Linked DNA regions of Cricetulus griseus. The protein of the gene in region 3 purifies or fractionates together with the protein of the main gene of each other region. This does not show direct contact. Links are inferred from orthologs where the notes say so. Each region holds a gene or a part of one and is shown on either strand. Other genes may lie near its edges. The genes, in order: Ncl, hsp70-binding protein 1, Hsf1 and Fbxw7.

The links.
Region 1: the proteins of Hsf1 (region 3) and Ncl purify together in Homo sapiens (affinity purification with mass spectrometry; 3 studies listed by BioGRID, with this or other methods). This does not show direct contact. The link is inferred for Cricetulus griseus from reciprocal best matches to the Homo sapiens genes HSF1 and NCL.
Region 2: the proteins of Hsf1 (region 3) and hsp70-binding protein 1 purify together in Homo sapiens (affinity purification with mass spectrometry; 5 studies listed by BioGRID and IntAct, counting the BioPlex papers as one, with this or other methods). This does not show direct contact. The link is inferred for Cricetulus griseus from reciprocal best matches to the Homo sapiens genes HSF1 and HSPBP1.
Region 4: the proteins of Hsf1 (region 3) and Fbxw7 purify together in Homo sapiens (affinity purification with western blotting; 4 studies listed by BioGRID, with this or other methods). This does not show direct contact. The link is inferred for Cricetulus griseus from reciprocal best matches to the Homo sapiens genes HSF1 and FBXW7.

What each region holds. Positions count from the first base shown.
Region 1 is NC_048595.1:438,026,175-438,033,982, forward strand, and holds the start of Ncl (nucleolin), read right to left. Parts: upstream 4,036-7,808; 5' UTR 3,874-4,035; coding exon 3,856-3,873; intron 2,924-3,855; coding exon 2,807-2,923; intron 1,144-2,806; coding exon 651-1,143; intron 416-650; coding exon 227-415; intron 141-226; coding exon 54-140; intron 7-53; exon of another isoform or gene 1-6. UniProt on the Homo sapiens protein: Nucleolin is the major nucleolar protein of growing eukaryotic cells. It is found associated with intranucleolar chromatin and pre-ribosomal particles. It induces chromatin decondensation by binding to histone H1.
Region 2 is NC_048602.1:23,311,090-23,318,429, forward strand, and holds the end of hsp70-binding protein 1, read right to left. Parts: intron 5,999-7,340; coding exon 5,843-5,998; intron 5,766-5,842; coding exon 5,669-5,765; intron 5,110-5,668; coding exon 4,998-5,109; intron 1,940-4,997; coding exon 1,865-1,939; downstream 1-1,864. UniProt on the Homo sapiens protein: Inhibits HSPA1A chaperone activity by changing the conformation of the ATP-binding domain of HSPA1A and interfering with ATP binding. Interferes with ubiquitination mediated by STUB1 and inhibits chaperone-assisted degradation of immature CFTR.
Region 3 is NC_048595.1:373,785,666-373,792,757, reverse strand, and holds part of Hsf1 (heat shock factor protein 1), read right to left. Parts: intron 3,542-7,092; coding exon 3,433-3,541; intron 3,065-3,432; coding exon 2,928-3,064; intron 2,670-2,927; coding exon 2,545-2,669; intron 1,875-2,544; coding exon 1,799-1,874; intron 1,726-1,798; coding exon 1,664-1,725; intron 1,542-1,663; coding exon 1,445-1,541; intron 1,340-1,444; coding exon 1,203-1,339; intron 1,090-1,202; coding exon 823-1,089; intron 382-822; coding exon 295-381; intron 1-294. UniProt on the Homo sapiens protein: Functions as a stress-inducible and DNA-binding transcription factor that plays a central role in the transcriptional activation of the heat shock response (HSR), leading to the expression of a large class of molecular chaperones, heat shock proteins (HSPs), that protect cells from cellular insult damage.
Region 4 is NW_023276806.1:69,437,472-69,444,563, forward strand, and holds part of Fbxw7 (F-box/WD repeat-containing protein 7), read right to left. Parts: intron 6,113-7,092; coding exon 5,999-6,112; intron 4,584-5,998; coding exon 4,402-4,583; intron 2,656-4,401; coding exon 2,430-2,655; intron 871-2,429; coding exon 660-870; intron 1-659. UniProt on the Homo sapiens protein: Substrate recognition component of a SCF (SKP1-CUL1-F-box protein) E3 ubiquitin-protein ligase complex which mediates the ubiquitination and subsequent proteasomal degradation of target proteins.

The DNA.
Region 1 (7,808 bases), about 64 Mb from region 3:
TGTGCTATTGCTACCTTTATCTCCTCTCACAGTCCCCAATCTTACAGGCTTACCTTCCACTTTCTGTTTCTTTGCTTCAGGAACTTCTTTCTGTTTGGTCATTTCCTTCTTCCGTTTTCCAGGTGCTGGTTTAACAGGCTCTGGATAAGATTTTTAGTGTCATGAGTAGGTAAGCACTTCCATTAAACATTACTGAGGTCAGTGTACCTCAATGTAATCTGCTTACCTTCCTCTTCTTCCTCTTCCTCCTCCTCCTCATCTTCTTCCTCTTCTTCATCCTCCTCCTCATCTTCATCCTCCTCTTCATCATCATCATCCTCCTCAGCCACATTCTTGGCTTTCACAGGAACAACTTTTGCAGGAGCTTTCTTTCCTTTGGCAGGTGTGATCTCCATAGCTTCTTCTTCTTCAGAGTCTGAAAGAGAGCTGGCTTAGTAAGCAAGGGCATTTGCTGCCAATCCAGATAACATGAATCTTATACACACTAAAAAAGTCTTAGAGAAATAAAATTCTGACAGCATGCTAAGTTATGGAAAGAACTATGAGCACAAAATGTGACTTTCTAATCTAAGCACGAAGTGGTCAGGAAAACTACATGCATTATTGTTGGCAAGATCTCCTAATCATCCTGCAAACAGAAATCCACCTACCATCCTCCTCCTCTTCATCCTCCTCCTCCTCCTCTTCATCCTCTTCCTCGTCTTCATCCTCTGAGGCAGGAGCAGCAGCAGCTACCTTTGCTTGTTTTCCTTTCACTACTGGTGGCTCAAATTCATCCTCTTCCTCATCCTCTTCATCCTCATCACTGTCGTCTTCATCATCGTCGTCATCGTCATCTTCATCACTGTCTTCCTTCTTAGCATTCTTACCATTCTTAGCCCCCTTGGCTGGAGTGACAGCTCCCTTTTTACCAGGGGTTGCTACCAATGCTTTTGCTTGTGTGGCTCCCTTCTTTCCAGGTGTTGCAACTGCTTTGGCTGGTGTAACTGCCTTCTTGGCTGGTGTGGCTGCTGCCTTTTTACCTGGAGTAACAGCAGCTTTCTTAGCTGGTGTGGGAACTGCAACTTTTTTTGTTTGTGAAACAACCACCTTCTTTGCTGGAGTTGCTGTAGCCTTCTTTCCTTTTTTCTGAGGGATGACAACCTTAAAAGTAAAACAAATAATAAGCACTTTCCGTATATCCAATGTTATTAACATACTGATACTAACTTTGAGCTCAACACTGGAATTAGGTATATGTTAAACCCTGGGGTGAAAGGGCTAGAGAGACGGTTCAGCAGTTAAGAGCCCTTGTTACTCTAGCAGAGGACCAACGGTCAGTTCTCAGCATCCACATGATGGCTCTAACTATAGTTCCAGGGAACCTAAGAGTTTTCTTCTAGCCTAAGTGCACCAGGCATGCTTAGTAGTACACTCATACAAATACAGATAAACACTCTAACCCTAACTCCAACACACTAAATCCTAAACCCTGGAATCAGAATACATGGCTTACAACTGCAGGTGCTTATCACACAAATACCCAAGTTTAAGAAACACTCATAAATGAAACTGGTCTCCAACTCCACCCCTACACATCAGCCTTAAGCAGAGTTATAACAAGTATGCATTTTATTTTCATTGAAAAATGTTCCACCAAAACCCAAATTTTGCTTATTACTAATATAGCTCTTCTAAACAAGAAATCTGAGCATAATGATTACATACCCCCAGCTTACCTGATTTCCAAGACTATCCCTACTTCTGCCTCCTGAAATTAATTAACCATGTCTTTAAATGAACCAACAAGTAGGAGTGCTAATAAGTACCAGATTCAGCAAACTGGTAAGTAGCAGCCTTCAATCCATATCTGATGTATTTTAAAAACTGACTTGCTCTATAAAAGCTTATATAATAGGCTAAAGCTTACTTTAGTGATAGGGATCAGCACTAAAAAACAAAACATGCATGACGGGAATAGGAGTAAAATAAATATAGTGATTCCTGAACTATTGAGACCCTGACTCCAATTCTCATCTAAATCAAAGCCCTAAGTTTCTTAACTAGCTTCATGCAATGACTAATGCCTTTATTCAGGAGAATTTTTGGCCAGACTGGTCTACATGTTGAGTTCTAAGACCACAAGGGTCATGTTGAGATCCTGATTCAAAAAACAAACAAACAAACAAAAAAAAACACCCGGGAATTTCTAGTCGTAATGTCCTTCTCACCAAACACCATGAAATCACGTGACCATGATCTGAATGAAAACAAATCAAACTGGATTAAACCCTGTTTTCCAAAAATGTAGGGAAAAATAACAGCCTACAATCAATATTCAATACAGCATGTGAAACCTGAGTGAAATTTACATCCCTCTCAAGTGGACTGTAATACTCTTATTTAACTACTCAATAGCAATAAAGAACTTGTCACTCAACTATTGTTATCATACTACTGTATTTTTTTTTTTGGTTTTTGGAGACAGGGTTTCTCTGTAGCTTTGGAGGCTGTCCTGGAACTCATTAAGTAGACCATGTGCGGCTTTGAACTCACAAAGATCCGCCTGCCTCTGCCTCCTGAATGCTGGAATCAAAGGCGTGCACCACAACCGCCCGGCTTTAGAATACTTTTATTAACACACATTCTATTTCTACATCTTTTTTTTTCTTTTTGGTTTTTGAGACAGGGTTTCTTGTGTAGCCTTGGCTGTCCCCGAACTCCCTCTGTAGACCAGGCTGGCTTTGAACTCACTAAAACTGCCTGCCTTCTACGTCCCTCTTGCTGGAATTAAAGGGAGGGCACCGCTGCCCTATTAGCTGTATACCTCTTCTCCACTGCTGTCATCTTCTTCATCTTCGGACATTTCTTCGTCTTCACTATCTTCTTCCACCTCTTTTGGAGGAGGAGCCATTTTCTTAGAATCGCCGTGGGTTTTGCCGGCCTACACAAGTGCACACAAAATCATGTCGATACCCTATTTGTAAGCCATTTTGCGTTTCGCCATTATCTTCTTTCTTAATGCCCACTGTCTATATTGTTAAAGGCCCTAAGCACAGGTGACATCATTGGCATTATTATATGTGGCAATCTTTCCTGAGAATCACCTATATAACTTGTCTTTCCCTTCCAGAGACAACTGAAGACAATCTACTAGTCATTCATTGCCCTTTGAATTTCACTCTAAATCATCTGCCGGGGCAGGGGTATCTATTTGGGTAGCCCCTTCTGGAGAGGAGCACGTCTTTCACAGAACCACTTCCGACGTCGCCACTCTGGAGGCGGGCCACGTGGAGGTACCACGCAGGCCACCACGCGCTCCCTCAGGTGTCCACCACGTGCTGGCCTGCCCGTCACGGACAGGCGCTGGGGATCGCCGGGGAACCCACCTAGCTCAGTCCCGCTGTCCCCCTCCCCGGTACCCCGCGACTCCCCGAGCCCGAGACGGGCAACACACGCAGAGCGCCAAAACCCACGTGGCGGGCCGCGCACCGGAGCACGTGCGCCAGGAGGCGGGGCCACGCCGGCGCCGGCCCACGAGTTGGGTCCCATCTCCCCTCGGCGGGCCTGTCGCCCCTTCTCCCCTCGCGGCGGCTCCGATCTCACCGCCCTACACACACACACACACACGCGCGCGCGCGCGCTCACACACACACACACCTCCCGGGACCCGCCTCGGCTCTCCCCCACCACCAAGTCAGGGGCCAAACACCGCGAGACCTCCCGCTAGTCGCGCGAGACTTTCCCCAGCATGGCGCCCTCGAACGCGCCCGGGATTGCGCGCAGGCCCTCCTCCCCTGAGCGACGCGCGCGCGCGCGCCCCTCAGAAAGCAGGCCCAGGCGTCCGTCCGCGTCGGCGCGCGCGAGGCCTCTCACCTTTGCGAGTTTCACCATGGTGGCGGGTTGCGACGACGGCGCGTGCGGCGAAGGGCGCAGCTCGGGAGAGCCTCGGGGAACCCACGCGAGCTGGGCGGCAGCGACGGGCACGGTGGACTCTGGAGCACGTACGAGCGACTGCCAGCTACAGCTAGCGTCTGAGGCAAAAGACTGAGCCTGCCCAGTAATCGCCTCTGGAAAGGCGACGACGGCGTCCTCGTGACCCCTCCTCCACCAACCAGAGCGCGCGTCCGTCCCCCTGGCCAACCGCGAGCCTTCAACCCAGGACGGCGTGGGGGCGGGGCTACGGCGTGGGGGCGGGTCCGCCGGGGGCGGGGCCTGACGGCAGCGCCCTGGGGGCGGGCCTAGCTCTACGCAAGGCGGACGTTGACTGGCTGGTGTGCGCGTCTTCTCGGCGAGCCCTAGCGGCTCGCCTTCGCCGCGCCTGCGCGGTGCAACGCGCCCGTTTGGCGCGGCTTGTGGAAGGGGCTCGGGGATGGCGGCGTGGCCCGGACGCCTCCTAGTGCTCGACTGCTACCTGGAGCTCCGGGCTCGCGTGGCCGGGGGGGTGGGGGGTGGTGGGTGGCCCGAGCATCCCCCGCGCTGCGGAAGCTGCGCCCCACCGTGGACTCCGCGGCGGCCTCAAGTGCTCGCCGCGCGTTCCCGCTGAGGAGCCGGAGAGCGCCGGAAGTTGAGGGCCTAGAGCCCACTGGGGCCAGCTCGCGGCCCTCGGCCTGCCCTCGGCAGAGCCGAGAACATCCCGGGGCTCTAGTGTTGCGCCGCGGGCCGCTGTTCTCCTGAGAGACAGCTCCCAATAAAGGCAGTTGCGTGCGTGTGTGCGCGCCTGTGTGCAGTGCTCAAACAGCTCGCTTAATGTCCAACCTCGCGCGGTAGATTTAACTCCTGATGGGGACGGTCTCGGAGAGGTGACTTCCTGGTGTGTGCTGGAGGAGTTTTTTGCCGGCCTGTGGCCACTCACGGTTTCCCTCAATGGCCTGAAGGACAGAGTTGCCGTGAGTGGATTAGACCTGTGTGTGGGACTTTGGGTTCCAGGCGTGGCATACTGGAGCCCTTCTAGGGTACCTCCTGGGCATCTAAAACCTAATTTTCTGCATAGTCAGGGTTCCGCCAACTGATGATATTGGTTGATAGATCACCTGTGGAGATTTTGTCGGGGATGTTGAGACAGGGCCTAACTATTTGCTCTTGCTGTCCTGGAGCTCACTGTGTAGACCAGGCTAGCCTCGACCTGCCTGCCTCACGCGTGTAGAGATTAATGCGTGCGCCACCACGCCTTGGCCCATCTCGGAAGATTTTAGTGCAAACAGGATGTGTTGGGTCCCACGTTTTCTATCTGAACACGGGTCTTTGGAGACAAGTAGAAATAGTTAATGCGTGATGCTTGTTACTAAGTCCTTCGCAACGCGGTGGAGGACACAGCTCCACGAAAATGCTCTATGGTCAGGGCATGAGGTGGGAACCAGTGCAGTGATGTGGAGGCTTTGTCTTTATAGAGACAGTGACAAGGGTCACACCTTGAGATGGACCCCAAGAGAGACTCCTGGGTAGAGGGACAGGAAAAATGATTGGTGTGAGCCAAGACCCTGGGTATTTCCAAGCAGAGGAGGCTAAAGGCACTTGGGAGGAGACAGGTGAGCTGTGAGATGACACAGATGGATCTCAGCAACACTGGCATGACTTCTCTTTTTCGATCCGATCTACCTGTATGGGGCCTTCCTCAGACCTCTGGTGTAAAGTGCCACTAGGAGACTCACTCTTGGACCCTCACTTATGCTCTTGGGTCGTATCACCTACCTAGTATTTTTCTTGGCTGTTTATTGTTAATTTGCCCTTTCCCCAGCCAGCCAGGAGAACACAAACTGTTGTCTGCTGTATTCCTGGTGCCTACAGTATTGCCTGGCACATAATAGTGTTAAAAGGTACTTGCTAGGGGCTGGAGAGATGGCTCAGAAATTAAGAGCACTGGCTGCTCTTGCAGAGGTCCTGAGTTCAATTCCCAGCAACCACATGATGGCTCACAACTATCTATAATGAGATCTGGTGTCCTCTTCTGACGTGCAAGGCATACGTAGAGGCAGAATGTTGTATGTGAAATGTGATTTAAGAACACAAGTAGTTAGCCAGGTGGTGGTGGTCTATTCCTTTAGTCCCAGCACTCGGGAGGCAGAGGCAAGTGATTCTCTTTGAGTTCAAGGCCAGCCTGGTCTCCAGAGCGAGTGCCAGGATAGGCTCCAAAGCTACAGAAAGAAACCCTGTCTCAAAAAAGAACACAGTTTAAGTGAAGCAGCAGCAAAAGGGACAGCTTGGTGTCGAGCCGTGTTACTGTGTAGTCAATCTGGTCAACAATACCTAATACACATGTGAAGCTTTCCAGGTACCAGACTCTATTCCAGCTCTTTGGAAATCTTAAATTCATAAATGTATCCAAAATAGGCTAAAAGCATCACTGCTCACAAACATGAGGACAAAGAGTCAATTTGTGCAGTCCTCGAACTAGTAAGGAGACAGGACAGGGGTGAGGTAGATGCCTGAATGCTGTTGCTCACTATCTGATTTTCTTAAGGTGGGGTCTCATGTATCTCAGGCTGTCCTTGAACTATTGATCTCTTTCATCTGCTTCCCAAATGCTGGTATTATGAGTGTGTGCTACCTCCCTTGGTTTTATGTGGCTCTGAGGATTGACCTTGGCTTTGTGCATGCCAGGCTAGCACTTAGCAGCTACCTCCCCAAGCTAGCAGATGCCAGGGATCCCCGTCTCTGCTCCCTCCACCCACCACCACTTAGCACGAGGGTTACAGTTATGTGCTGCCAGCCCATGCTTTTTACAGGGATATTGGGGATCTGAACTTGAGTCCTCATGTTTTTACAGCAAGCACTTTATCCACTGAGTCATCTTCTTGTCCCAAGGAGAGAGGACTGAAATCAAGACCAAAAGGCAAAAACAATCATGAGATTTCTAGGTTCCTTTCCCCACATTAAAGGCCCTGCTATTTGTTTACTGTGCACATCTCTTTTAGTTCCAGCTTTGATAGCATATCACATCTCAGTATGTTGTTTTGGTTTTTTTTCTTTTTGAGATAGTCTTGTTATGTAGCCCAGGTTAGCCTGGAAATTGTGTTTCTGCCTCTGCCTTCTAACCGTTGGCATTACAGGTGTGTTCCTCCTACACCTGGATTTCATCAAATACTAATTGAAAAATCGGTTATAAATAAACCACATAAGTAAGGTACAAAAGAGCTAGGTACAGTAGCTTATGCCTATCATCACAGCATTTGAAAGGGTGAGGCTGGAAAATTACCATGAATTTGAGGCCTGAATTTATAACCTGAGTAACTGAGTGTCAGGCCAGCCTGGGCTACAAAACAAGGCCCTATCTGAATGAATGAGCAAATAGCTGAGTATGGTGGTGTATGTCTGTAATCCAGTGCTTTTGGAGTACAATTACAGTGCAATCACCAGCACAGAGTACAGGAAAAGAGAGGGATGTTTTCTTTTTTGTGTGTGTGAGAAAAGGGGGACTTGGTTTATTAGTAAAGACCAATGAAATACAGAGTAATAAAAATTATCTTAGTGCTACCTGATACAATGAAATAGCTGACTTGGCTACTCTCTTAGCAAATAAAAACAGAGCTTCCAACCAAATAGATAACAACCGGGTCTCAGGTCGGTCAGGTCTCTAGGCAAGGACTTCAGCTTCAGTCATCTTCAAGGGGTATCTCCTGTGTTTCTCCTAAACCATCTTCAAAGGAGATCATGTCTACACTGCTGCATCCAGTTTAATAATTCTGCACATCAATCCACTGTGGAGCCGTGTCATGGGAAGTTAAGAGGGGAAGACAATGCCATAAATGATTTCAGTTCATATTGACACTGGCAAGCCTTGGGACTTAATGTCCTTGATCTTATTACATGCGGTCACAGGACACCTAGGC
Region 2 (7,340 bases), on a different chromosome or scaffold from region 3:
CTGGCGCGGGCGCCGCGGGCGCAGGGGCGACGGCGGGGGAAGGCGCCGCGGTTACACAGGGGCGCGGGGCGCGCCGGCACCGGGAGCAGGGACGAAAAGGACAAATCCCAGGCTCCGCGGCGCGACCCCGGGAGCCGACGGCCGTCTCGTCCACCTCAGCGTCCCCCGAAGCGCCTGCGGCTCCCCGGCCCGGCCCGGCCCGGCCCGTCCAGCTCCGGGCCTCCAACGCACAGCTAGCTCCGCCGCTGTCCCACAATGCCCCGAGCGCGGGAGGACCCAGCCAGGCAGGCTCCGCCCCCTCGCGGCGGCGCTCCGTGCGCAGGTGCGCCGCACACAGGCCGGCGCCGCGGGGGGGCGGGCCCGGCGAGGCGCGTGCGCGCTGGGCCCTCCCCCCGCGCCCAGGCCCCGCCCACCCCGGAACTCGGCGCGGCGGCCCGGCGCCCAGGCTCCGCCCGCTCCGGAACTCGGGCGCTGCTGCTGCTGCTGCTGCTGCTGCAGGCAGAGCTCGGTTTGCAACGAGCGCGTGTGCGCAGCCCGCTCGCCCGGAGCTGCGTGTCGGGCTCTCCCGCCCCGCGCCTCCACCCGAGCACAGTTCTCTCTCTCTGTAACAGCCGGGAGGAGGAGCCCCCCCCCCCAGCGCGGGGATCCCAGCTCTGAGCCTCAGTTTACCCCAACTGCAGCGCCCCCACCCTCCCCACCCCCGCTTTAGAGGTCGGCTGTAAGGACTATGGAAGAAAGCTTAGCTTTTCCTTCCTGGAGAGGAGCGGCAGATTGGTGGCAGCTTGTATTTCCGGGAAGTTCTATGGAGTCACGTTTGTGTGCCTTCTCTCGTCTAGTTGTTTTTTTGTTTTTTCCTTTCCCGCCTCTTTAATTCTCAGATGGCTTTAAATGGACCTCTTTCGCGGATTAACACCAGTCACTAATTTTTTTTTTTTTCCTGTCTTCTGCTCTGTGTGATCTAATTTATTTGTTGCTGGTGGCGTTCGCTTGATCCTCGTCGTTCTGTAAGAGACCGTCAGTCAGCTTCACGGAAGGGAATTGTTAACACTAGTCGTGCTCCCCGAGTCTCCTTGTCAGTCTGGGACCCTCCGTAAGGCAGTGTTACCCATATTCAGACTGGGTCTCCTCCCAAGTAAACCTTTCTGGAAACAGCCTCATAGGCACGCTGCATGTGTTTCCATGGAGATTCTAAATCCAGCCAACTGGACGGTGAAGACTAACTTTCACATAAAACTTCCTTTTCGGATGGAGGGTGAGCTGGTTCCATGGGTAAAGGTGCTTATTGTGCAAGCCTCAGGACCTGACAATTTAGAGCTGATTGCCAAACCCACGTGGTGGGACTGGAGAATCCACTCCCCACGTGCTCGCTGACCTCCACCCTTATCAAATAAGCAAACGTGTTTTGTTTGTTTGATTCTATACTGAAAAAAGAATGGGATGGTCCCAACACAACAAAGGCAGCAAGATAAAAGGAGACAACAGTTCCGAGCAACGCTTGTATAATCCCTTTAGTGACCACCCCACCCCCACCCCCAGTCCTCTAGGCTCTGCCCCTCCCTCCCACCTTCCATAAGAACCTTCCAGGAAAAGCAAGACAACACATGGGAAGGGCAACAGGAGAAATGCTTTTATTGGAAGAGCAGTGTGGACATGACCAGAAAGGGTGACAGAAAGCAAGGCAGGGGAATCCAAAGGGCCAGCACCTTTCTCGGCACCCCCTCCAGGGGGCTGCCCAGAGATGGGCTGGCAGGCCCAGGCCCAGGCCTGAACAAGGCCTGGCAATCCCTTGGGAGAGGATGCCTGGGAAGGAGGGAGGCAGGAGGCCTGGGGTTCCCACGGAGAGAATGCAAGAAGCCACCTGGTCTCACCGATCCATGCTGTCGTCGGTAGGGCTGGAGAAACATGTCTGTAACAGCTTTTCACAGAACTCCAGCTCCTCCTGGACAAGGAGAAGAGAGAGATCCTGAGCACAGAGGCAGACCTGCCTCTGGGACATTCATTCAGCGGCCACAACAACCCTCTCTACTGGCTACCACCAGCCCACTCCAGTAGCCACTGGGCTTTCCGAGTGACCACTGCTCAGATCAGGCTCACTTGCCCCCCCCTGCTCATAGGTCCCTGAGCTTTCTTCCCAGAGACAGCCTGAGGCCTCCCAAACTGGTCTGTCCTGGAATCAGCCCCGTGACTCTCATATATCCACCCCAGGTAAAGGTGCTGAGCACTAAGCCTGAGGATCTGAGTTTAATCCCCACAACCCATGTTGTGGAAATTAAGAACCGGCTCCCACAAATTGTCCTGTGACCTCTACCTGTGCACCACAGCACACGCATGCCCCCCCCACACACACACACATAATAAATAGATGAGGGACTCAGAGGTTAAGAGCACTAGCTGCTCTTCCAGGGATCCTGAGTTCAGTTCCCAGCACCCACACGGCAGCTCACAACTGTCTGTAATTACAGTTCCAGGGGATCTGGCATTCTCAAACAAATATACATATAGTAGTTAAAACACCAATGTACACAAAATAAAATAAAAATAGATTGTTGCTGGGCAGTGGTGGTGCACGCCTTTAATTATCCCAGCACTTGGGAGGCAGAGGCAGGTGGATCTCTGTGAGTTCGAGACCAGCCTGGTCTACAAAAGTGAGTTCCGGAATAGCCTAACCCTGTCTCAGAAAACCAAAAGATGATGATGACGATGATGATATAGATGAATGTAAACATTTTTGGTTTGGGTTTTGGTTCTCGAGACAGGGTTTTTACGTAGCTCTGGAGCCTGTCCTGGAATTCACCCTGTAGACCAGGCTGGCCTCAAACTCACAGAGAGCCACTTGTCTCTCCCTCCCGAGTGCTGGGATTAAAGGCGTGCGCCTCCATCACCCATCAAATGTAAACATTTTAAGCTGTATTTTTATGGGGATATGTTATGTCAGTATGTGTACATTCACGTGCACGCATGTGTGAAAACCGGAAGTCCCCAGAAGCCACCCACCTTGTTTGCGTGTGTGCACGTGTGTGCAGGTATGAATGCATGTGTGAGCGTGCACGTGGGTGTGGACATTCAGAGGTGAACCAGGATCGCCCTCACCCACTCTCCATCTGTTTCTCATTTCCTGTTGAAGGACGGTCTCACAATGTAGCCCTGGGCTGGCCTGGAACTCACTAAGTACATCCAGTTGGCCTCAGACTCACAGAGATCAGCCTGCTTCTGCCTTCCTCCCCAGTGCGAGGGTTCAAGGTGTGCACCACCATCCATATTTTTTGAGACAGTTTCTCACTGAACCTGGAGTTCACTGATTCTACCTAACTGGCTACACACAAGCCCCAGGGAATCTTCTCTCTTTGGCTCCTGAGTGCTGGGATTCCCTCCACGTGTGTACCTGGGATTTGAGCTCAGCTCCTTGTGGCAAGCACTTTGCCAAATGAGCCATGTTCCCTGCCTTAAAACCTGTTCTTATAGCAGTGTTTGTAGTAGTGAAAAACTGAGGACAAGCCACACCTCCTTTAAGAGGCAGCTACCTCAGGGTTTCAAGTTTGAGACTACTTTGAGCTAACACTGTGAGAACCTACCTAAAAACTAAATAAAAAGAGGCCGTTGAATCAATGAGGCCATGAAGCTACCCACACTCCACACAATAGAGCAATAATAGAAGAGAAAACCTAACACCAGGAGTCAAAATAAACCTTCCCTGCTGGGCACAAGGGTGGACGCCTTTCACCCCAGCACCGGGCCTGGAAGGATCTCTGAACGCCAGGCTGGCCTCCACCCACGGAGATCTGCCTGTTGGTCTGTGCGCCGGTGGGTGGTGGGCACCTCTGAGGGGCCCTGGGATTCTTCAGCTCAGGGTCCCCTGGGAGATAAATGCAAGTGCAACATGCAGGGGCCTCCTCCCCTCCACGTGCTCCACCTGACACCAGGCCAGCCTGGGCTGCAGCTCCCCGTGCTCCATGCGGCTCCTGCCTCTCCTACTTACAATATCCCTCTGTCAACATCGGGGTGTCCAGAGAGGCAGGGGTGCAGCAGGATGGACACCACTGCTGCACTTTTGCCGGGCCTAGCTTTGTTAAAAGTGGCAGCACCGGAGCCACAGGGAATTCACAAAATGAAGAATCAAGGCTGGCGGGGTGGCCCCGAGGGGGTAAAAGTGCCGACACCCTGACTTTGATCCCTGGGGCCCACATGTCAGAAAGTTGTCCTGTGTCCTCCACATGAACACACTCATAGGCTGGGGGATGGCTCAGGGCTTAAGGGCACGTGTTGCTCTTGCTCGGGTCCTCAACTCAAGTTCCCAGCACTCACACCAGGCAGCTCACAACCATCTGTAATTCCAGCTCCAGGGCTTCCAATGCCTTCCACTGGCTTTCAAAGGTACCCCACAAACATACAAACACAGACATGTAAGTTAAAAAAATTTCTTTTTTTTTTTCATTTTTTGGAGACAGGGTTTCTCTATGTAGCCCTGGCTGTCCTGGAGCTTTTTCTTTGTAGACCAGGCTGCCATTGAACTCACAGAGATCCGCCTGCCTCTGCCTCCCGAGTGCTGGGATTAAAGGCGTGCGCTAACAACGCTGAGTTATCCATTCTTATCTACTTAATTTATTCACCTATTTAGCTGGGTGTTGGTGGCGCACAACTTTAATCCCAGCACTCGGGAGGCAGAGGCAGGCGGATCTCTGTGAGTTCGAGGCCAGCCTGGTGACCAGAGCGAGTGCCAGGATAGGCTCCAAAGCTACACAGAGAAACCCTGTCTCAAAAAACCAAAAAAAAAAAAAAACAAACTTGATATTTAAGGGTGTTTATCATTTTTGTGGTACATAATAGCTAATCAGTTTATCATTTTTAACCAGTTTATAAAATAGTTCTCATTCCTGACTGAGGTAGCATGCGGCCCACAGTGTTTGCTAATGGGAGAAGACACAACGGAGAGAGAAGGCAGGGACAGACGGAGCCCACTGGCCCCAGGGCAGGCACGGACCCCACCCCCGCCCTTCTACCTGGTACTCCTCGTGCTGCTGCAGCAGCTGGCAGCGGTGACGGAGCAGCTCCTCCAGGCCCAGCTCAGGCTCCCGGCATTCTCGCACACCCTGGGGAAAGTCCGTCACTAGGCTACAGGAGGACATGAGAGCAGACCTTAGGACCCCATCAGCAACGAAGACCCCAGCCCAGCTCCAAGCCCCCCTCCACACTGATCCTGCAGGAGCCAAGGTACACCACGGCCCTACAGTGGGTCTTGGCTCCCATCTGTAAAACTGCAGCTGCTGTACATTGCTGCGGGGAATATAAAGTTTAGACGGGGCCTGCCATGATGTCTGTCTGGCTCCATCATGCTGCGGGTGTGGCTAACCTTTGGGCGCTGTGACATAGCGTTGTCATCTATAAAGCTCATGCTGGAGAATGGTATGGTTGAGTTATTTTAGGAAGCATTCATAGAGACCCTGGGCACATGTGGTCCAAGGCCTGCTGGTTGACAAAGCCCAGAACCCCAATTTGTTTACCCTGTGGGAACCATAAGAAGGGGTTCCCGCCCCCAAGCATTGTGATCTCTGCTATTCGCTGGCCTGCACTCTTCATCTAGTGCTCCAGGGCAAGAGCGGGCTAGTGCCTGTGCGGCTCTTGCTGTTGAGGACGCCATCCAAGGCCCCCTCCTCCTGGGGCCCCAGTGTACCTGCACAGGGCTCCAAGCACATGCTCGTGGAAAGGGCTGTGGTCTGTCCTCACAAGGGCCACCAGCTGCTGGACCATCCCCATAGAGCAAAGGGTTCCTGGGGGGAGAGCTGTGGGAGTCAGGAGGAAGGCTCCCGTAACACACCCCCCACAAGTCCCTCTCGGGCCACCTCACCTTTGTGCTCCGGGTGGCCCACCAGCAGGTTCTGCAGCAGGAATGCCGACTTGACCTTGAGTTTCTGCACGTGCTGCTGCATAGCCCGCATGAGCACAGAGAAGCCATCCAGGCGGAGGAACTGCAGCAGCCCAGCCTCTTGCTCTCGGACGAGACCTGAGGGAGGGGCAGAGCTCTGAGGTCCCAGTCACCATGGCTGCCACCATCACTATCACCACAGCCACCAACACCACTGGCATCATGACCATCACAGCTTCCAACAGCACCCACCCGTGTCTGTGTGTTGTGGAATCATCTTTTTGTACACTGTGAAGGTGTGTCTTTGCCAAGGCTCCTGATTGGCTTAACAGAGCTAAATGACCAATCGCTAGGCAGGAGGCATGGGTGGGATTTCTGAGGACAGAAAGGAAGAGAAAGCAATCTAGGCATGCAGGAGAAGCAAGACACATGGACGAAGCAGGCCGGGCAGGACGGAGGTAAGGTAAGAGGCCACAAGGCAAAACACAGGTTAATGTAAACGGGTTAATTTAAGCTACAAGAGCTACTGGGAGAAGCCAAAGCTAAGGCTGAGCTTCCATAACTAATACTAAGTCTCTGCGCCTTTATTTGGGAGCTGGCTGGCAGGACAAAGACTTGTTAACAACTATTATCATTGCCATTGCCACCATCAGCACCACCATTCCTCACCACCATCAGCACCACAGCCGCCATCAGCACCACAGCCACCATCAACAACACCCTATCACCGTTGCCATCACATTCCTAACATAACCACCGTGAAGCTGCCACCCGCACCACCACCACAACCACCCCACCATCACTTCAGCCTTCAGTACCATCGCCACCGCCATCACTACCATCGCGAGGCACCGTCAGAGCCACACCGCCACGGCCATCATACAGAGTTCACCACCACAGCCATAAAGTTCACCCCGCATGGAACTCGGGGGTTTCCATATGGCACTAAGCAGCCATCACCACCACCTCACCCCAGAACACGGACATCACGCTGGTGCCCGCTCCCAGTTCCCTCCTCTGGCCTCTGCCAACACGGGTCTACCGTCTCCCGCTGTGGATCTGCTGCCCGGGTACCTCACATGGATGAACTCACTCAACCAAATGTTTACGGTCCATCCGTGTTATAAATTCTGAGTCTTCATTTCGTCTTACAATAGAGCAGCATTCTGTTGTAGGAACACACACTTCCTACGCATTGTTACTTTTAACTCTTCACAAACACTTTCCAGGTACAGGTGCTCTCCGGTTCCCATTTTACCTATTTGCTCATTCATTCATTCATTCATTCATTCAGTCAGTCAGTCATTCATCCATTACTTATTTTGGTCTTTTTGTTTGTGTACATGGCACATATGTGTGCATGCATGTGGAGGCCAGAGGTCATGTCAGGTGCTGTCCAGAACCACTGCCCACCTTGTTTTTTTAAATGGAGTTTCTCATTAAGCCTGTTGCTTTCCCTGTTACAGTAGACTGGACGGCT
Region 3 (7,092 bases):
CAAGGGCATACCTGAACCATGGGCAAGGCAGTTAAAAGGGCTCTGTAGGTGCTATGGGGCCTATCCTACCCTGATAGGAAGCTCATCACAGCAGCCTGTACTGGTGGCTGGGCCACTATCACAGCTACTGGCTTGTGCAAAGGGGAGTCAGTAGAGATGCAGAGCCCACGAGACCATCTCCTGGTGCTCTTCGCCAGGCAGGGCAAGTGCTATGCCCGGGTTGGGAAATGGTCCAGGGCTGCAGGAGGGGCCCTGGTGGAGTCCTCCTCCCTCCCAAGTGGGGGCAGCGCTAACCCTGGCTGGACTCGGCCATGCAGAAAGGAAGAGGAGGGGCAGGGGAAGAGGCGGGCGACCCCAGACATCTGTGGAGCGCGAGCCAAACTGCAAGATACAAAGACAAGAGCCCCCCCCATTGCAGGTGGGGGATGAGGGGATCCGTGCCCACCCTCCTCGCTCACTTAGCCTCTGGGATGTGCCCGAGGGGTGGTCAAAGTTGGGCCCTGGCTCATCATTTCCTGTGTCAGGTCTAGGGAGAATGACAGATCCAAAGATCATGGGGGCTTGCCACAAGAGAAGGTGACGCCAGTAGTGATGGTGGCCCAGGAGGCAGGGGTATATTCCATTTCTAGTGATGTGGTTGGTCTCCCTCCCCAGCTTCAAGCTCACTCTCAGGTTTTGGGGAACAGATCTAACCCATCACTCCCAGCAAACTGTAGAGATTGTGCCTTACTATAAGACACAGATACCCTGTGTCCAGCCTGAAGAAATCTCGTGCTGTGGGGTTCAGAGGCTACAGGAAGGCAGGGTGGGTACATCACTCACTTGTCTAGGCAGGCTACGCTGAGGCACTTCTCAGGGGTAGAAGGGGGTGGAGCAGGGGCATGGACTCCGGTTGTGTCCACAGGGGCTGTGTTTGAGGCAGCAGGGTTAGGCTCGCTCTCTCGAAGGATGGAGTCAATGAAGGCAGTTGGAGATAAAGGTGTATCCATGGAGGATGGACGGCCAGGGCTTGCCTCCAGTACCCGAGGGCTCCGAGGTGGGCTGGGGGGCTCTTCCTTGACACGGATCAGGGTACTGCTGGACAGGGGCCTGAACATGTTAGAAGAAGCCTAAGTTAGCTCCACCCACTTCCAACTCTGCCCAGGGCCCATGAAGACTGGCCCACTAGGGTGATAGGGGGTATAAGGGTGATGAAGCCCCACCTCTCATCTATGCTCCTGCCTGGGGATGCCAAAGGGGTGGTAGGAGTCAGCTCAGTGATATCAGAGATTATGGGTCCAGAGCTGGTGACAGCATCAGAGGTGTAAAGGCTAGAGCTGCTGTAGGCTGGAGATGGAGCCTGCAATTAGAGACAAAGGCCACATGCAAGGCATACCTGTGGTAGCTTGGGCCACCCAGCACCCATGATACACTTACTGGAAGTCCCATGGAGCTTGATGCTTACTGAGTATGGGCCAGGACCATGGACATGCTCCAGGGAGTACTGTCGACCATACTTGGGCACAGAGTGCGCTGAGCTGCTGTCACTCAACATCAGAGGGCTGCAATGAAGAGACAGGTTAACTGCCTACACAGACCTTGGTGGTGCCCAGGATATACAGCAAGCAGAGGACACCAAGGCGCAGGGCCAGAGTGGACAGTGCAGGCATCCCCAGAGCCTCACATCTTTCTCTTCACCCCCAGGATCCGGTTCGACTGCACCAGTGAGATCAGGAACTGAATGAGCTGTGGGGCAGAGAGGATACAGTCACCCTGGCCCAGTCGTGGAGGGGACCCACCTACCACCAGCCCTGCCCACCTTGTTGACAACTTTTTGCTGCTGGGCATGCTTCTGCCGCAGGCTGGCCACCTCCCGCCACAGGGCCTCGTTCTCACTGCAACACAATGTTGGGTCAATTGGACCACATTTGAAGAGCCAGAGTCAGGTTGTTGACTAGTGAGGCAGAGCTAGACCAGATGAGGGCTCACTAGCACCACCCAGCTCTGCTAGTTCTGCTATACTTCCAGGGGAGGATTCAAGTGTCAGCCGGGGAAGGAGGCCATGGATAGAGCCTGATGGTACACTTCAGGATCCTAGCTGAAAGGGGGGCCACAGGACTTGTCACAAACTGGCTAGACATACAGAGCAGGGCATTGGGAAAGATACTAAACTGCTGAGTACCCTCAGGTTGGGGGTAAAGGGCAGCTGAGGACTGTGATGCCCTGTACTGAGTGATAAAGGAGGAGTAGGGGCCACTGGGAATAGAGAACAGTGGGGAGATCTGGCCCCAGGACTGTTCTGGTCAGCTCCTGCCAGCCTGGTTTTAAGGGAGGCACATGCAAGGAGGGTCTGTATGCTCAAATCCTGAAAATGTGGAGCCCAGCAGGGCAGTGAGAAGTGGGTACAGTAGGAAGTTCCAACTCTATTCTATGGAGATGAATAGGCCACAGTTTTTGCCACAGAAACAATGGAAGGCAGGTTGGGAAGGGGGAGGGAATCCTGAATGGCTCTGCACAATAAAGACCCAAAGCAACCTGGCCACCCTCCTGAGCCTTGGGACCTACTGTTTCATGGCCAGGAGCTTGGAATCCATACACTCCTGTTTCCCCTTCATCAGCTGCACATCCGTCAACAGCCTGGTGACACTGTCCTGGCGTATTTTTATGTCCTCACTCTTCAAGGTGGACACCTAAGGGTTGGGGCATACAAGAGTCTGAAGTGGCTCTGGAGTGTGGTTGGCTCTTGTGCTTCACCTGGAAATCTAAGGAGTGGGGAGAGTCTGGGAAACACTGGGAGGGGGAGGAGGAGGGGTTAGAGAAAGATGAGTAAAAGTACAGGCTATGCTTTCAGGCTAGTCTTGCAGCACCACCTAGCTACTACTCCCAGCCCATAGCCTGCAGGGAGATATGAGGACAGGGAGGGGCTGTACTCAGGGCTTGTGACTCACGCTGGTCACTTTCCTCTTGATGTTCTCAAGGAGCTGTTCCTGGCCACGCAGGAAACATGGATGCTGGAACTCGGTGTCATCCCGCTCAGGCTTGACCAGGCCACCGTGCTCAATGTGGACTACTTTTCGGAAGCCATCTGTGCATATGGGGGTGGGGCAGTTCTGCTTGAGGACCAGGAACCAGACCCCCAACAGCCTAGTCATAGCCTAGGGCAGGCAAGGGGCCTTCTAAAAAACTGTAGGAAATTCTGGCTGGTGTCCATTTACCATAGCTAGTTAATCATGGTTTGAAAAGACCTTGTCATTGCTCAGCTTCCTCTCTTGCAAATGGAAGTATAGCTACTAGGGTAGGGTCTCATACACTCTTTCTTCCTTGGGGAATTCAGGCTTACACCCACAAGGATCCTTCCTTAGCCAACCCAGGCTTTATTCTCTCAGCAATATGTTGGGGTCTGTTTCTCCACACCCTTGGGAAGGAGGCTACCATTCCACAAGAGGTACTTACACATGTTGAGCTGCCGCACGAAGCTGGCCATGTTGTTGTGCTTGAAGTACTTGGGGAGCACTTCCTTGGCAAACTGGCCCTGGTCAAACACGTGGAAGCTGTTCCCACTCTGTCAGGAGACACATGGGCATTCGATATATAGCAGCTGCTGCCATATTTCCACCATGGCCTGAAGCGCCTCTCCATCTCTCTCCAGAGAGAAGCAGGAGGGAGTTCAATCTTAGCACTCTATGGCTGCCATCCAGGCCATGGAGTCAGAGACAGGATCCTACTTCCTGGCAGTTTTCAGTTGCTAACTTTAGACTCATAGATCACCTACAGCATTCTGGTTGTCTCTAGGGACATTTAGCTTTAATCATTTAGCTTTAATCAGCAAATTTTTCCTTAAAAATAACAAAGATCAGCTGGGTGTGGTGGTACATGCCTTTAATCCCAGCACTTGGAAGCAGGGGCAAACAGCTCTCTGTGAGTTCCAGGCCAGCCTGGTCTATAAAGTGAGTTCTAGGACAGCCAGGATACACAGTGAAATCCTGTCTCCAAAAACAAAAGAATAGATAAAATGGAGATAGTTCAGTGATTAAAAGTTCTTATGGTTCTTGTAGAGGACCTGAGTTTGTTTTCCACCACCCACATGGCAGCTCACAGCTGCCAGGAATTCCAAGTTTCAGGTGACCTGATAATCCATTTTTGTTCTCTGTAGGTTTGAATGCATGTGGTACACACATATATGCAGAGACACACAGACATATCACACAGCTCTATGAAGCCAAATTGTGGCAACTAAAGAAACAGGAATGGGATTTCTGCTGCTGGAAGACAGTCCTGCTCAGAAATACCACTCTTTTTTTTGGGGGGTGGGGGGTTGTTTCGAGACTGTCCTGGAATTCACTTTTGTAGACCAGGCTGGTCCAGAACTTACAGAGATCTGCCTCTGCCTCCCAAATTCTGGGATTAAAGGAGCACGCCACCACTGCCTGGCTTCTTTTTAGAACTCAAGATTGTTGAATGCTACATGGCTGCACTTCTGGGCGTGTGCTCTCCTGAACACAGTCCAGAACCACAAGGAGGGGCAGAAGTGCCATGGCAACTCAGAGGCATTAGATCCCGGAGTGGGGAGGCCCCACAGTGGGGAGGGACAGTAGCGTCATGGATGCACAAGACAAATCAGCTAAGGAACAGGTCTCTTCGCTGGGGTGGGGGATCTATAATACAGGCAGGTAGAAAAAATGAAAAGGAGCCCAGTGGATTAGCACTGGGGCTGCTTTCCAAAATGCAGAGGAATGAAACAGGTCTAAACAGAAATAGTAGGGCAGGTGGAAACAGGAGGAAGAGAATGCAAAGCAGCAGGAAAAGCACTGGGGAGGCGGGGGGAGTATGGTATCAGGGAAAGCAGTGGGCTCTTTACATCACACATCCAGTCCCACTCTTCCCCTCAGCTTTGAAACCAGTGGGAGCAATGGCAGTGGGAACATGGGTGAGAGACAGCTCAAGGTCCTGGTGCTAGAGGTCTCTCCAAGCAAGGCTGGCTTTGCTTGATCTGAAGCTGACACAGTCCAGAGGCTCTTTAGAAACATGTAGAGGAAGATTTGAAATGGCTGCTGAGACAATGTATAACACAGGCTAGCCAGAAACCTTAAAAGGTGGTGAATGAGGGATCACTAGGGACTCTGAAATATTCCTGGGAATCCAAAGGCTATGCACACATTACAGCTGTTGCATGTTCAGGGGAGACCTAGGAGGGTCATGAGCTCACCCTCCGGCAGGAATGGGAAATAGGATATAAAGCTGGGTTGTTAACTCCCAGGCTATGTGTTAAAGATAGGAATCAACAGCCAGGCAGTGCTGGCGCATGCCTTTAATGCCAGCATTCAGGGGGCAGAGGCAGGTGGATCTCTGTGAGCTCCAGACCAGTCTGTTCTACATAGTGAGTTCCAAAATAGCCAGGGCTACATAGAGAAACCCTGTCTCAAACAAACAAGCAATTCACCTGGGGACTCAAGGAAGATGAGAACAGGGAGAAACGCATGTCAATAAGCACAAAAATAGGCCAACTGAGGTTACAGTTTGAAGACAGTGTGGTAGTTTGAGTAAGAATGAGCGCTGGGGCAGTGGTGATGCATGCCTGCGATCCCAGCAGAGGCACGTGAATCTCTGAGTTCGAGGCCAGTCTGGTCTACAGAGTAAGTGCCAGGATAGCCAGAGCTTTTACACAGAGAAACCCTGTCTTGAGAAACAAAACCAAAACCAAAAGAATGGGCCCCACAGGCTCACATATTTGAGTGCTTAGTCACTAGGGAGTGGCACTATTTGAAAGGAATAGAAGGGTTAGGAGTTGTGGCCCTTGGGGAAAATGTGCCACTGGGAGTGGGCTTGGAAGTCTCAAAAGTTCATGCCAGGCCCAGTCTAGTCGCTCTCGCTGCCTGTGGGTCAGGATGCAGCTTTCAATTACCCCAGTACCATAAATGCCACCATGTTTCCTCTCGTAAGTAAGCCCCCAATTAAATGTTTTCTCTTATAAGAGCCATGGTATGGGCAGGAGAGATGGCTGAGCAGTTAAGAGCACTGGCTGTTCTCCAGAGGACCGGGGTTCAATTCCCAGCAACGACACGGCAGCTCAAAACTGTCTGTAACTTCAGTTCCAGAGGACCTCACACAGATAAACATGTGGGCCAGACACCAGTGCACATTAAAAAATAAAATAAAAAAAAAGAGCTGTCATGGTCATGGTGTCTTCATAGCAACAGTGACTAGAGAGAGTGAATAAAAGTGAACAGAGTTTTAGAGGCCTACAACGCTTAATGGGAGGCTCAGAAGATGAGAATGGACAAATGACTATACTTATGAAAAATGATCAGGAACATACCAAATTTGATGTAACATCCAAAACACTAAATGAATTTCAAACAGGGAAAACTAAAAGGGATTCATATATGGTCACTTCATAATCCAAGAGAGGGCCTTGCAAGCAGCCAAGTCAGACAGACACATCGGCATAGATGGTGGATGGCCATGGATCAGTTGCAGGGTGAGGACTCCTATCCTTGAAGAGGAAAGGAAAGCCCCACTTCTGGGCCAGGAGTGTGGAGTTCTGGGAAGTGCTTCCTCTCCAGTGACACACACAAAGCTTGTTTAGATCATTTAATGTCTCTGAAATTGTTCCCAGGCATCAAACAAACAAGAATGACCAATGAAACCACTAAAACCCAATGGGTCAGTGAGCACCCATGGCATGAACTAGTCTCTCCCTGTCACTAAGTCCCCATATGAGATGCTGCACCCTTGAAAGTGTGGCTAAGTTGTGGGGACCCCTCTTCTCAATTCTGTCAAAGTTTAAGGATACTGGAAAGATGTGTATTCTCTCCAACTGTAGGTTGATGATACCTCATTCCTACTTGGAATGGTCCCCACCTCATCCACAATGCTCCCAGGTGGAGACTAATCCCAGGGGCGGAGAGAACCTGAACATTCATGTTGAGAGTATTCATCTGAGAAGTCCAGTAGCTATTGCCCAGTCACTTGCCCCGAGGGTTTGCCCACAGGAGATACAATCCATAAGGAAAGTGCTCTAGCTCCCTTTAGGTCAAACAGTGTTGGAAAGCTCAAGCCCCAGGGAGCACTGACAATATGGGAGCAGAGCTCCAGGCCAGCCTGCCCAGATAG
Region 4 (7,092 bases), on a different chromosome or scaffold from region 3:
TGGAAAAAATTAATGTGACAGATCTGTCACTCTGCCACTCTGAACTGACCAGTCAAAGAAGAAAACTGAACTTACACTATCCCCAAATTCCCAGGGACAGTCAAAATTAATGGACAAAGGCCACCACATGATGCCCTCAGATGGCTCCACTAAAAACAAACAAACAAGCCTTCTAAGGGTGCATTTAAATATCAAAAAGTGTATCATGAAGAATCCAATGGCGCTGTGCCTCCAATATTAACCTTCTCACGTGTCTCTTTATCTCAAAGGGAACTATTAATCCTTCCCATCCCAGCTGAAGCAGGTGGTTAAGTGGAAGCCAAGGTAATTTCCTATCAGAGATGCTTCAATTCAAAATATAATGATCAGTCAAAAAAAAAAAAAAAAAAGTATTGGTTCTGTGAGACAGCCAAGTCTTTCTTCTCATTGTTAAGGTTAAATAGAGTCGACTGAACATGCAGGAAATGAGTAAGAATTTTCACATTAAAGACACAATTGAAAACCATTTTTCAAGGTGGCCTAGTTTTGAAAGCCAAACATTCATAAAGTCATCAGGAGTAAGTACTCTGCATGAGGTTAAATCTTTGCCCTACACAGGTTCTCTCTTGAATAGCAATGACATTTTGAAAGAACATGGCTGAAGGAGGATTAATACTTACCTTGCAATGTTTGTAAACACTGTCCTGTTTTGATATCCCAGATTTTAACTGTAGAATCTGCATTCCCAGAGACAAGAATATTGTCTTTGAGTTCCATTCCACTTGTTAAGGACTGGTGTCCTGTTAATGTGTGAATACAATTCCCTGTCTCCACATCCCAGACTCGGATTGATGTATCTAGAGATCCACTCACCACATGGATGCCATCAAACTACAACAGACACAGTGTATTAGAACAGAAACATGGATTCCTTTCTATCAGCTGGTAGACCTTCCTCACAATGGGGAGGGGGCTACAGCAACATGTAAGGCCAGAACAAAGAGTGCATTGGGATAAACTCAAAGGTAAGCAGATGTACATGCCATTATGCCAGCCTACGGATCATGTCTCCAAAATATTTTCATAAATTATCTTAAAATTAAAAAGAAAACCAAAACAACAACAACAAAAAAAAGGAAACTGAACAAAACTGCCCAATAGTTCAAAAAGAGGAAGAAACAATTTCAAAAAGAAAAGGAAGAACCTGAAAGGACAGCATTCCTTTCAGATCACCTGGTCCCAGCTGGAAGCTATATTGCATGTATTCATCGAGAAAGATGAGTCTGACTTGCCATAGGAAGCCAAAGTCAGAGCTTGAGTTTTAAAAAAGCCATGCCTATCAGCACCCAAGGCATGGGAAGGGCCACAGATAACTTTTGTGATGCTCAAAAGTAAATTCCATTAAAAACTGTTTGTAGAATGAAGTTATTTACAACAACTTATTGCTAATTAGAAAATTAGTAAAAGAGAGCTGTTATCAGGAATTAGAATAGGAGGCATTTTAGTAATAAAAGCAATGTAGCCCCTCTTTTCAGCTTCCCAAGGACACTGAAAGCCAATAAACATCTACCAATCCCCAGGAGGTATATCTAATACCTGACTATATATTCTGAGGTCTTCTCTAAGGTTCTAAGCACACAAGTAGCAAAAGCAGTGGCAGCCAATCTCCTCCCCTTGGAAGCCATCATCTTTTTTAAAGTAATCAACATCTTTATCATATATCAATATTTCATTACCATCAGTTAAGAATCAAATGCCCCAAGAACAGCAAGGTCAGCACTGGGATTCTGTTCTACTTGGCTGATCACTAACAGGCAAGTAACTGGGAAGGGAATTATGTAACAGGAAGTTTTTAAAAATGGAAAATGCTGCATTTCCAGAAATAATTTCAACCCACGCTTTATGTCTAGTTACTGAAGCTTTTGAAATATTATAATCTATTAATAAACATCATGTTCAAATATAAGGAAATATAACAGGTTAGTCAGATTCACCTTTTTATGGCCCCAGTCAATGGCCCTGGGCAACTATGTAGCTTTCTGCAGAGAGTCTCCACGGCTACTTTAAATGGGGATAGAATCACAATTACACGGCCCATCAACTTTTAGTTATCAAGGCAAAGGGGCAGCTTTTGGCCAAATTAATCCTCAGCTAAGGAGTTTATTAAGATCCAAGTTATTCTCCTATGAGATTATCTATTAATTAATGTGGCAAAATTTACAGCCCTGAAGTATCAGGTTTTAAGACAAATATTTGCATTTTAAAGAGAAAATGGATCATAGAAATCGAAGCCATTAAATCAGCTAAATGATTTTGAAATTTATTGTTTTCTTCATGGTAATTTTAAGGTATATATAAACAGCAACTTGACGGTAACTAGCTGAAAAGAAAAATCTTATGAGTCATCACCAGAGCATCTAGGGGTGTGGATGGGTGAGACAGCTTCTTACCTGTAATGAATAGACTCTATTAGTGTGTCCCTGCAACGTGTGTAGACAGGTCTCAGTCTCTGGGTCCCACACCTTCACCATAAAATCATATGCTCCACTAACAACCCTCCTGCCATCATATTGTACACAGCGGACCGCTGCTACATGACCCATCAAGACATGTAAACACTGGCCAGTCTCAATATCCCAAACCCTAAGAGTGGCATCTCGAGAACCGCTAACAACTCTGCAGAGAGGAAACAGAAAACAAGGTATTAGAATTCTGAAGAGCACAAATGCACATAGCCTGCAAAACAGTGTTCGCTTTCTCTTCATAAACAGAACAGAAACACTTTAACAAGAATCACTACCCTAATGCCTTCAGATATAAATTCAAGTTACTCTGCCTGGAATGGGAAGTGAGGAAGACTAGAAGTCCATGACTTAAGGAAACAACCTCACCCTATTCAAGAAGCAAGCAGCTCTCCATACATACAATTTATCTTGATTAGAAGTGAAATGGTAGCATGGTACACGCAGCTCAACCCTCAATGCAGAATTAGGTGGTATTAAACTTAGAACAATCCAGAACTGTTTTTAATATCTTTGTCCTTCCATTACATTTCAATTATGAACTCCTATTACCTATTTGAGAAAGTAAACTTTTCAATATGATTATTTTTCAAAAAAAAAATTTTACATTTAATTTGGGTCTCAGAAAACTAGGGCTGTTTTCTTATACTTCCCATGCAGGGAATGCGGTTTCAGATATGTGCTGATACAGATTTTTAAAGATATTCCTATAGAAGTAACAGAAATTGGCTCAATGTTATAAAATTATACTGTTCTAAAAAGAGGAGTGATACAACCATGCAGTTACCTCTGGATTGCTAACCAGGTACCTTTATGTCACATTCCCAAGAGATAAAAGTCAGTCTCTGTATTTGGAAGAGTGGAATGATTAAGTGTGGGAAAATGAATGCAACCAACATGGAAATGCAAGGTCTCTTGAAACTCATCCCTTAAATTTTAATCACACAACACACTGTGCAAAGTGGTTCAAATTGAAAGTAAAAAGGAGTCCCTGTATATATATCACACCTGCAGGGTACAGCCTACTTACCAAAACAGTTCTTAATAGATAAAGCAGCATGGACAGAGTTACAGGTCATGGCTGCTCTGCTGTGAACTCGTTATAATGATTCTTCTAAGATACATTCTTTTAGAGGAAGGGTCTCCTCTAAAAAGCTGTGACTTCAAGGATTCTCCTGTCTCTATCTTTCCAGTGCAAAGATTAGCAGCATGTTCTCATATCAGGCCAAAAGAATATTTTTTGACAAATGAAGTAGAAAACACAATTTTTTAGCTAGGTGCAATGAAGATGTGTCAACAGAAGGACATGATTGTAGCAGAAGACACTGCAGGTAAGATACAAAGCACCAGGCAGAGGCACCAGGAAAGAATGGACTAGCAGGCCAGACGTGGCTGAAACAATCCTAATACCAGAGCTCTCTGCCAGCTGTGCAAAAGTCAGGACCTGAGATCTCTGCATAGTTCAGATGACAGGTAATGAGAAAATAAGTGAAAGCCCTGGACCTCAGTGTTTGTTCAGATCTAGGGACATGATGGAGTGGGGGCAAAGTGGGTGGGTCACTCAAGGATTCAGGCTAATGTCGAAGTGACTGAATTTGTTGCTCCTACATATGACTGTCAAGAAAGAAAATGATTTTTTTGAAGATGATGAGTCACCAAACGAACAACAAAGGGGATTAGAGAGCTGAGCGTCAAGAAAAATGATTGTACAGTCATTGAATGAAAAAGAAAATTTTAAGACAATCCTCCAATTTTAAGCCAATATAACCTGATTTTACTAACTAAGGAATATTGCACTGTAATCATTAGTATCAACTTTTGGAGCTCATTAGCACTATTTGAATCTCAAATTCACAAGTAACAGACGTGAAAGTCCCCATCATAATGGGATTTCCTTTACCTTTTTTCATGGAGATGCATACAGCGTACAGTGGAAGTGTGCCCATATAAAGTATGTATACACTCTCCAGTCTCAGCATTCCATACTTTGAGAGTCCGGTCAGTGGATCCACTAATGATGATATTGTCTCTCATCTGTGATGACCATACTCCACCTGTGTGTCCCACTAATGTTCTTAGACACTGAAAAAACACTTCAGATGATTAATTTTAGGTAGAAATGAAAGCAAGTCAAAAAATATACTAACATCTCATTAGAATCTGGAATAAAGTCTTACATATTCAACTTTATTAGATCACCAGGAAAGCATCTACACATCGATGCTACATGACACCATTATTACCGAATTGTTTATTTTGTAGCAGTATATGCTTATGCATGCATAGCAAACATGATATGAAACAGACAGGACTGGAGAGATGATGGTTCAGTGGCTAAGAGCGCCAGCTGCTCTTTCAGGGACCTGGGGTTTGAGTCCCAGCACCTAGTGCCTTACAACCACCTATAACTCCAATGCCAGGGAATCTGATGCCCTCTTCTGGTCTCTGAGGGCACCTGGCATGTATGTGGTACACACACACAAACACAAAATAATAAAATGAAGTAAAGAAATTTAAGAAGAATCATTTGATACAAAGCATAAGACATGGCAGAAAGCAAACATAATGTAATACAAGCAAGTTCAACAGCTCTAGCCTGACCACTATGATTAAATAATATTAAAACTGCAAAAGGGTGCCTCCCATGGAGGAGAACCAAGGCAAGAATGCCAAGAGAGTTGGGTGTGGCCACATACCACAGTGCATCCGTCTGCCTTAAGGCAGTAGTTAGGGGCTGGCCATGCTACTCTAGACATGTAAAGACAGACACTGAGACTCTGAGATAAGTCCAAAACTAGTATTATATCCTGGAAACGTGTAGCTGCTCTGAAAATTTTAACATCTGCTTTGGGTATTTATAAGAGTCTTGTCCAAGGAACAACACAGCGAAAGACATTTTTTTTTAAAACATACTGTCTTCTTTTACCTTTTAAATGATTGATTACTTAATTCATAAAAAAAATTCTCCTTTGGACAGATAAAGTCAATATTCACTAGCGACTCATTAAGGAATGCTATGTGAAATAAAGCTACTGCTTGGCTCTTCAACCCAGTATTTAAAACCTCCCCTGCTTCATTTCCTTACCATTCAAGTCTGAGACAACTTTAGATTAACAGGATTTACTTGATTTCTAAATTATAGATAGCTCAGCAACAAAGCAGTCTACAAGGAAAATTACAAATCACTCAGTCATATTTTGGAAGACGTTAGGGAGCCATGATGGGAAAGGTGAGACGGAAGCTCAGAGAAGAGGGGCATCTGAGAAATCTTAGAATATCTAAGGAAAAAGACAACAAACTATTTAAATGAAGAAAACACCACTGCCACCATGCCAAAGTGACATAACCACAGGAAGAAGGACCACATTTCTAAAGACATTTTGTTATTTGTTATCAAATATTTGTTATCAAAACAGCTGAGGATCCAACACCCCACTTTACTGTGACTGCACACACAAAATGGTGACTCATAGAAGTATGGAAAGAAGTGAACTTACTTTGCCCGTGACTGCTGACCAAACTTTTAAAGTGTTGTCATCAGAACCACTAACTATGCGGTTACCACAAAACTGTAGGCATGTGATCACATGATCATCATGCCCTTTCAGCACCTATAAGAAAAATGTACACATCACATGTATGTTATTACAACACATTCTTTAAAATACAGTGAAGTGCTACAGAGATGGCTCAGACATACAGGACCTGGGGCCAAATCCCCAAAACTCACATAAAAACTGGGCAGAGCTACACACAGGCCTGTAACCCCGACACTGTTAGTATGGACACAGGAGAACTGTTGGAGCTTATGGCTGCCAGCCTAGCTCTAGGATCTGTAAGATACTCTGTCTCAAGTAAGTCATACAGAGAATGAGAACAGGAAAGCTACCAGCCTCCTCTGGCCTGTGTGTGTGCGCATAGGTACATGCAAGGAGACACAGACACACACAGACACACACAGACACACACAGACACACACAGACACACACACACACAGAGAGAGAGAGAGAGAGAGAGAGAGAGAGAGAGAGAGAGAGAGAGAGAGAGAGAGAGAGAGAGAGAAAGCAAAAAATGAACTGTGTGTCAGAACAGTAATCTGTAATCTGTTTTTAGAAAGAAGAAATTTATATAAAATATACAGCACATCCTGGGCTACCAAGTGAGCTCCAGGCCAGCCTCACAAACCTCAACTCAAGATTAAAACAGAAGAAAAAGAGGTGGAAGAGGACAGGGCTCTGGGCTCAACTTTTAGCACTACAAAAAAAGAAAAATAAAACACCTAGAAACTGAGGAATAACAAACAACAGTTTTGTTTTTTTTTTTTTTTCAACCTAAAAAGTATGCTAGTACATGCTGTCATATAAAATAATGTCTCCCAAAATTGGCTAATTTTTTGTTATAAAAGCATATGAATTGAGGATTTCTACCATTTATACATCTGAAACAATATTCTAAGACAGAAAATGAGACTTCTGCTTCAAATTATATATAAAAAAAAAACAGAGAAAGTCACAAAAAGCAAAACTACTATTTCTAAAAATTAACAATGTCATGCAGAATGATCTAACAAATTCACTTCCTCCCAACTCAT